Linked DNA regions of Macaca fascicularis. The protein of the gene in region 1 interacts with the protein of each later gene in a biochemical or structural test. Links are inferred from orthologs where the notes say so. Each region holds a gene or a part of one and is shown on either strand. Other genes may lie near its edges. The genes, in order: DSG1 and PKP1.

Region 1 (3,815 bases):
AGAGCTGAGAGCCATTGGCTGTTCTTAAGTTGGGGAGTGAAGTGCTCAGGTCAGAGCTTTAGATCTATGATTAATTAACAGCATGGATTGTTGGACACAAACGCTGAGAATCTAGTTAGGAGACTCTTGCCCAAGCCCCTTTAGGAATTAGTGAAAGCTTGGGGTGAAGAGCAGCAGGCACATGGATGGCGAGAAAGACATGTGGCTAGGGACCTTACCTGACAGAAGTAGCTTTCCATGAAATTCATATTCAGACCTCCTTCTCTACATTCCCTCATAGAATTTCTTCTTAATGTTCCAGAGTACTCTTGACATATCTCAGGCATTCCTGAAGTTTTAACTCCCTCTGTTAGTTCAAATCCTGTCATTCTCTCTCCTCCTCCCAGATCTTGCATTTCTCTGCCACCATACTCATTTGTATAAACTCCTAAAAGTGTTGATCAAATTAAGTTTATTTTCTTTAGTCTATCACAAACTAAAAAAATTAACAACTTGCCTTATAATACATGATTTTTTCATTTAGGTATGCATTTGTGAACAAAGAAATAAAAAGATAATACATAAAGAAATGAGATATAAATACAATATTGAGCTCAAAATAATATTATTAATTTGTTAATTTGATAATTATCTGTTGAGAGATTACTATATTCTCTGCTGGAAGTGAAAGCTGCAGAGGACTTATAAAAATCTATGCCCTAAAGAGTTTGATTTCAACCTGAAGGAAATTGGAAGAAAAATACTCAAATTCTGAAAGTTAAAAAAATAGTGTAAGAATGCCCCAATGTGTAACTAGAAGCACAGGACATCCAGAAAAAGACATGAGAACCACTGGCTTTCAGAAAGGAAGCCATGGCTATGTGAGGAGAAAGGTTTTCATGAAGAATCTTGGGTTTGCACTTGGATGTGAGGAGTAAGTGGAAGCCTGTTACTGTATTTGAGGTAGATACTTGCTTCAGTAGCACATATACTAAAATTAGAACTATACAGAGAAGATTAGCATTGCCCCTGCACAGGATGATACACAAATTGGTCAAGTGTTTCATCTTTTTTAAATTAAAAAAATATAAAAAGAAATATTTGAGGTAGGTGAGATAAAATGATGGCTGGGACCGTGGAACTGCTATGGAATGATGAATGTTGTCAGTGGGATACGTATCCACTGGTTTTAGTACGTGAAGTATCTTGAGTTTGGGAACAGTGTACTTTTCATGCTTCAATTGTCCTTGGTACCTCTTATGGTGCTTTGTTCAAAATCTGTGCAAAAGTTTGTAGACTTAATGGGAACAAATGTGTAGATAAATACTGATGGATTTGATGATTTGATAAGTCTTGAGAACTGTTTTGATGTTAGTGAATGTGAGTCAACAATGAGATTCTGCTTTTGAGGTGAGAAGACATTGGGGTTGTTAATGAAAATGGACAAATCAGGTGGAGAAATAGATTTAAAGATTACTGTGTCCAATTCTTTGAATAAGTTCCAGTTCTACAAGTTATACACATGTCTATGCCTGTTAGAGTTTAAAGTAGAAAACAATGGTTACTGTTTAAAAAGACTAAGAGAAAAATACGCTAACCAATAGTATTTATTTACCTTGAGAAAAGTAATGTGATACAACTATTTTCACAGATATGGATGTTATTTTAATTGTTCTTTTATTATAGTGGTAGTTATCCACTTACTGTGAAATTCTAATTGTTCCCTGGTTTCTGCCTGTGAACTGGTCTAGATTCCTGTTTTAAGGCAAGTTGGATTTATACAGTCTTACCCATGTGCTAGAAGAAACTCCACCACGTGCACACAATCTCAGTTGAGAGCTTTGAAAGATTTTGATAGTGTTTCATCTACTTGCTTTGAATTAAAGAAATTGGACAAATATTTTTTAGGTAATATTTGTGATGATACTGAAAATGGATGTAATTTTTTTCTATGTTATAATAAGCAGCTAAAGTCAAAGCAATTCTGAATCCTTAAATTAATTGTGTATAAAGATTTTAGCCTCAATCAATGAGCACAGGTCTATTTTAGTCGGGTTGTGCTTTAATTTGAATTAGTGTATATATGTGTATGACATATGTGTGTGTATGTCTGTTAATGAAATTTGCTCTATTAAATTAAAAATCTTGACTAAAACTTACTCATGGTTACAATTCAGTACTTCTGCATATATAGAGATCCTAATTTGGTCATCTTCTAAGTACTCTTTGATGGTTGAGGAAAACTTTTAAAATGCAGCATATAAGAATAATAATTACTGTAGGTTTTTCCTTGCCATTTAATTTACAAATTAGTCATTTAAAAAAGAATGATATAAACACTTTTGAAGAAAAATAAGACCATCAAACAACAATATGCAAAGAGAGAAAACAGACTTCCTAATCATTTGAGTTGTTAAACAATGTTTTTTTCTTACCTGAGTTGTCAATGCATTCAATTATATTTGCATTATCAGGTGGTATTTGTGGTATGATGGTGGTCATAACCTAAAAGACAGGAAACAACATTGCCATTTGTAATGACCAATGACTGTAATCTTTCTATAGTCACACATTTGGTTTATTCTCAAATTACCTCAGGTTTCCCGGAAAAAAAAAAAAAAAACTATTTAGGAAATGCTGAAATCCATTTAAAATTTGAACTTCTCTTAGAAAACCTTCCCTGGTTACTTCCATCTAATTTTGTTGTGCTTTTGATTCCTCTTCATTTTCCCCATTAGATTTCTCAGCACAAAAAACAGCATAGACTGTGAGTGATGGCGGCCATCTTGGTTCATGTGTAAAAACTGAATTTCAGTGACTACCAAAGGCTATTTATTAGAATGTGGCACTTACCCCGGGTTCAGGCTGTGGTCCTTCTACTGCCCATGAATGAATTGCTCCATCTGAACATTCAGGAACAGGCTCAAAGCCAGCTGCACTACGAGGAGCACCTCCACAATCACAACAAATCATCAAAAATGGGACCACTGGTGGTGGAAGGATAGTAATACTAGATTAGCGCTTGGTGCAAATAAAAAACAAAACAACTTGACTTTTTATGGTCAAATTTGAATTCCTGATATAATTCCGGTTGGTTCTAAAATTATGAAAGTTTCAGAATACAAGCTGAGTAATGGTCAGAGCCCAAAGCAAATAGGAGCTTCTGTATATTAGACTGCAATCAATTTTAGTTTGTTTTGTAGTATTAAAAATTACAAATAGTGGGACTGGCATGGTGGCTCATGCCTGTAATCCCAGCACTTCGGGAGGCGGAGGCGGGTGGATCGCTAGAGTCCAGGAGTTTGAGACAAGCCTGAGCAACATGGTGGAACTCCATCTCTACAAAAAATACAAAAATTAGGCATGCATGGGGGCTTTTGCCTGTAATCTTAGCTACTCCGGAGGCTGAGTTGGGAGGATGGCTTGAGCCAGGGAGGTTGAGGCTGCTCAACCAGGGAGGTGTGCGGTGGTTGTGCCACTGCACTCCAGCCTGAGTGACAGAGTGAGACCCTCTCTCAAAAAAAAAAAAAAAAAATTACAGATAGTATTACATTATTAAAACCAATTAATCTTTCTATGTCATTATTTAGAAAAATATTAAAGGAGAGAAGAAGGAAAGATGAAAGGTCAGGCAATATAGTTGATCCTTTGTGTTCTCTCCTCCATGTCTTTATTTTCTTCCTTTTACATATGCTTGCCTTTATTTCAATGGTAAAATCTTATTCATGCTTCCAGCAATTCTCCTTGAGGCTACTATTTCCCCCTATGCAGGTGTCTTTTCTTTCAACAACTCTTATACAAATAGAAAACATCACGCTGCTTAGCAGTGTCTTCTG
Region 2 (4,418 bases), on another chromosome or scaffold:
CTGTCTGATCTGAAGCACTTCAGGGAGGGCACGAGTGCGACAGGCATTTGGTGACAGGCTCCAGGGGCCCTTCATCCAGCCCTCAGTGGCTCAATACTCCCTCAGTGACAAGAGAGAAAAGAGCCCTAGTGGAAAGGAACTGAGAAGCCACTTCTATCACAGGACCAAGGATGGCTGGTCCTGACTGTCCTTCCTGGGGTACAAGGAGCAGTGGCTACTCTTCCAGGCAACCTGTAGGGTGTGGCTGGCCCTTCTTAACTCGGGGAACTTTGGATGGGATTCAAGGGGCTCAGGAAGACCCTAGGCGAACTGACTCTGCTCTTGGAAGAGACTAAAGGAGAATTTGAATCTGTCCAGGGGGCGAGGGAAAATGTCTGGGCATGGTCCTTCCACAGCCACCAGCTCTTTCCATTCCAGGAACCAAGGCAGGCTCCTGACAGGTAAACCAGCATGAGAAAGAGGGAGCAGAGTGAGTAGAGGTGGCCGCAGAGCAAATAGGGGACGCTTGGGCGTTTCTGATGGAGAGGACAAGGAAATCTGATGAAAACGAAGCCAGCTAAACCAGAAACACCAGCTCCAAGTGACCAAACCGCCTCTTCCAGCAAGGATGCCTCTGGGGAAACCAGCCTCCTTTAGGAACCTCCGCAGAGTCTGAGGGTAGAGGGGACACGCCCACAGGGCCAGACCTTGGAGTTTCTGGAGAGGTAGCCATCAGCATCAACCCTCCCCTGAATGAAGCCCCCTGAAGGACCTTGGGAGGAAAAACAAAGAGGGAACAAAGGAGACCTTATCAGATAGAGGTTCCCCACAAAGACCAAGCCCAGAAAGTACACTTCAGGCTGACAGACACTCAGCCGATATCCTGATAGGTGGGAGGAATAAGGGGTCCTTGGGGCACCCAGGGCCATTTGAGTTTTCTGGAGTTGTGAGCCAAGAGCTCAGGCTGGGATGGAGTGGAAGTGGGAAGGGGACAGCCAAGTCTTGGGCAGAGAGGAGAGTAGGTTGAGCAGTGCCCTGGGCTATAGCCAGAAATGGGGCACTTTGTTCTTCCAAACCTACTTCTAAAGAGGCTAGGAGGCACCTACCAATGCACCAAATAAAAGGGAAGGAGGCATGTGCTCTGGAGGCGGCACGACCTTGAGTGGAAATGTGAGGAGAGGAGCCCAGGGCTCAGACAAAGGCAAAGAGCACAGAGCAGCAAAGGCCTTTAGGTCTGGGGCCCAGGAAGTCATCTGCCCGCCATTTTCCTTCCTTCGGCTCTACATGGGGCCACTCAGGAATGGGGGCTAGGGAGTGGGTGGGGGGACAGAAGCCAGAGGTAGAAAGTGTGAGGTAGGGGTGTGTGTGTGTGTGTGTGTGTGTGTGTGTGTGTGTGTGGTGGGAGAATGGCCAAGGCTGGTTTCTTTTGTCTCCTTCCACCTTATTACCCCCTGCCCCTCACTCTCTCCTAAGGCCTGTCTTAATAAATAAGTCTTGGTTCACCTGTACTGGTTAGTGGTGGGTAAAGTCTTTATTAGTATTTTACTAAATTTAGCTAAATAAAATAAGTAAATAAATAAACAAGGGGAATCTTTGCTCACTTCTGTGTAATTCTTACCAGGCATCCTTTGTATTAAAGCATCTGTTTGGTCTATAAGCTCTCCCCTGTCAGGTACTGCCCCTTCCTCCTTGAGTTTCGCGGGTGCTGCCCCTTTCTCCCAGGCTTCCCCAGTCATGGGCTCTGGCCTCTCAGAAGCTGGAGGAGGGGGTGCCAGGCCCGGGATCCAGCTTGGAAAAGTTCCCGTGAGGGCTCAGCTAGAGGTCTCCCTGGGGCCTAGGGGGATTTCCAACCTGCCATGCTCATTCCTTACTCTCCCCATGAGACACTTGTCTACCTAAGCTGGGTGGGGTAGAAAGAATTCAGTGGGAAAGAGGAGTTCTGCATTGGCTATTCGGGAAAGAAGGCATCCTGACCCCCTTCCCTGTTGTCAAGGGACCCACTGGCCCTGGGGCGGCCTTCCAACTAGGCTAGCCTCTTTCAGGAGGCTCCCAATAAAGTGCCCTGGAGTTCCAGGGTCTCCTCCCTGCTCCCTGTGCCACTTCTCCGTCCCGCAGCGACTCTCCTGAGCTGCACTCCTGTCTCAGCGACTCCCTCACGCCGCTCGCGGATACACACGCACACAGGGACTGGGGTTCCCCTTGGCCTGAACGCCGGGCATCGGCTGCCAGCTGAAGGCCAGGAGATCAAGCCCAGGAAGGTTGAAGGGTGGCCCACAACTGATTGCGAGCGCGGGGACCATGGCCCCCAGGACAGCCAGGGTGAGACATGATGCAGGGCTGATCCCTAGAGCAGCACCCGAAAGAGAAAGCCGTCCAGACCCAGGGCTCAGGGACAGGAGAACCGCTCGCGGGGGATCCTCAGCCTCCTGGCACGCTGGGAGATACTGCCGGCTGTGTCCGGGTGAACCACCCATCCTTGCCCACTAGCGCGCCATCGAGCTCGTGGAGCTGTCGAGCCAGCCTCGGGTGGCTGTTCCATCTGCTCGGAACCGGCTAGGAGTTCGGCTGCTGGCATTCGGCGCGTAGACCCTGCATGGGGCCAGCAGCCCCTCGCCTCCCCGCACCCCCTGGGATGCTTGCGTCCCTTGGTCTCCGCCGCTGGGCCAGGGCGCTCTGAAAAGGGGCGCACGGACCACGCGGGGACCGAGCCTTTACCTCGATTGGAGTGGCTCAGGGTGGACGACTGGGAAGACTTGGACTTCTGCCGCTTGACGGTCATCATCACCTGCTCCTGCACGCGCTGCCTGCCAGAAGTGCCTGTTTTCATCTTTTGGTCCGACGGCAAAGCCAAAGTGGAGTTGTCCTGGTCCTGGAAGCATTCGTACGCCAAGGCGGTCTTGAGCGGCGAGTGGTTCATGGTGGCGGGAGGCGGGAGGCGCGCGGCCGGGGCCTGGGAGAGCAGAGAGGCGAGGCGAGGTGCGGTGCAGCGGGCGGGCGGTAACGTGCTCTTCTCGCTCTCAGCAGCTCCCTACGGCCATAGAGTGCGTGGTCCGCGTGAGGGCTCCCGGCAGCTGCTCCTGGCGCTTCCACCCCGGTTCGTCCCTCTTTGGCAGTGGCGAGGCCCGCCCTCCGTCAGACAGGATATACCACCCCTGCCCTGCACCACCCACTCCACCTGGCCGCGCGCTGCTGCCGCTCAGACGCGGAGCTGCAGGGCACTGCTGCTGCGGAGCCAGCGCTCTTGGGGGCAGGGCTACGAGTCCCCCGTGTGGGACACTGGGCGCCTTCCTGCTCGCTCTTTTTTTCTCTCCTTTTCCTCTCCCCATGAGCAAGAAACGTCGCAAGCCTTGAGGCCCCAGGGAGACGCCCCTCTGTCCTGTTCTGCCGGCTCACTGAGAAAGCATGTGTTCAGCTCAGGAACCGAGGGAGACCTCTCTCTAGGAAAAAAGGAGTCTTTCTTGACCAGGCTGTCCGGGAGAGCCAGGCGTCCATCTCCCTCTGTACTGCGGTCATAGCAGAGACCAGCCTCGGCGGTGGAGGCTCCCGGGCTGATGGCAGGACCATAGCTCTTGCTCCAAAGGAGTGCTCCATCTTATGGGGGCAACCCAGTCTACTCTAAAGCAGTTTCCTCTGAAGCAAGTCGGGTAGGGGCAGGAAGGCCACATCAAGGAGCAGACTTGAGATATCAGACCACACAGTGGGTATGCCTTGGTGAAACTGGTGGTTATTTGTTGTTCATGAGTATAGCCCGGTAAAACACCACGTGAACAGCGGATCCTCTCTGAAACTCCACTATAGCCTCTGATACAATGCCTGGCACAGGTAATATTAGGTACTCAATAAAAGATATTTTTAAATAGGTGAATACATGAATGCTAGTTAATTTAAGGTAAATTAAATCTAACTTGGATCCTAACCAGATCCTCACTGAAAAATTGAAGAGCTGCTTTATCCTGAAACTCCACTCTGGACTTACTATTTTGGGACCACTGTGTGCATTCCCCTATGCACACTCACACCCCTGGGGACACATGTGCAGTGAAGCTTCATTAATGTAGCATCCTCCCCAGGGATGGAGAGAGCCCACATCAGTGAATCTGGTGTGTAACAGGAACCGAGTCCTTTTTTTTTTTTTTTAAGTATTTACTTTGATGGAAATATTTCTAAAAAGTATCGCATTCTGCTTTGCCTCCTAAAGCAAACAACACTGAACATATTTGCTGTACTTCTTGATGCCCTGAGTTTCACATTCTGGACATCCATTACTGAACTGTGTAGTCGTGCAGTCCAGTCAGCTTCTTAGTTTTGGGGCCTCCACCAGCTGTGTGACACTATCACAGCCGTCACTCTTGCTGTCATTTGAGGTTGCCCTTCACAGCTCACATGCTTTACTTTTAGTTTGCTCTTCTAATCTACGGAGGAAAGGGCAATCAGAAATC

The links.
Region 2: the proteins of DSG1 (region 1) and PKP1 form a complex in vitro, tested with the Homo sapiens proteins (2 studies listed by BioGRID and IntAct). The link is inferred for Macaca fascicularis from reciprocal best matches to the Homo sapiens genes DSG1 and PKP1.

Annotation. Positions count from the first base shown.
Region 1 is NC_088392.1:58,528,937-58,532,751, forward strand, and holds part of DSG1 (desmoglein-1), read right to left. Parts: intron 2,967-3,815; coding exon 2,833-2,966; intron 2,485-2,832; coding exon 2,415-2,484; intron 1,053-2,414; exon of another isoform or gene 951-1,052; intron 428-950; coding exon 219-427; intron 1-218. UniProt on the Homo sapiens protein: Component of intercellular desmosome junctions. Involved in the interaction of plaque proteins and intermediate filaments mediating cell-cell adhesion.
Region 2 is NC_088375.1:59,013,229-59,017,646, reverse strand, and holds the start of PKP1 (plakophilin-1), read right to left. Parts: upstream 3,097-4,418; 5' UTR 2,897-3,096; coding exon 2,695-2,896; intron 1-2,694. UniProt on the Homo sapiens protein: A component of desmosome cell-cell junctions which are required for positive regulation of cellular adhesion.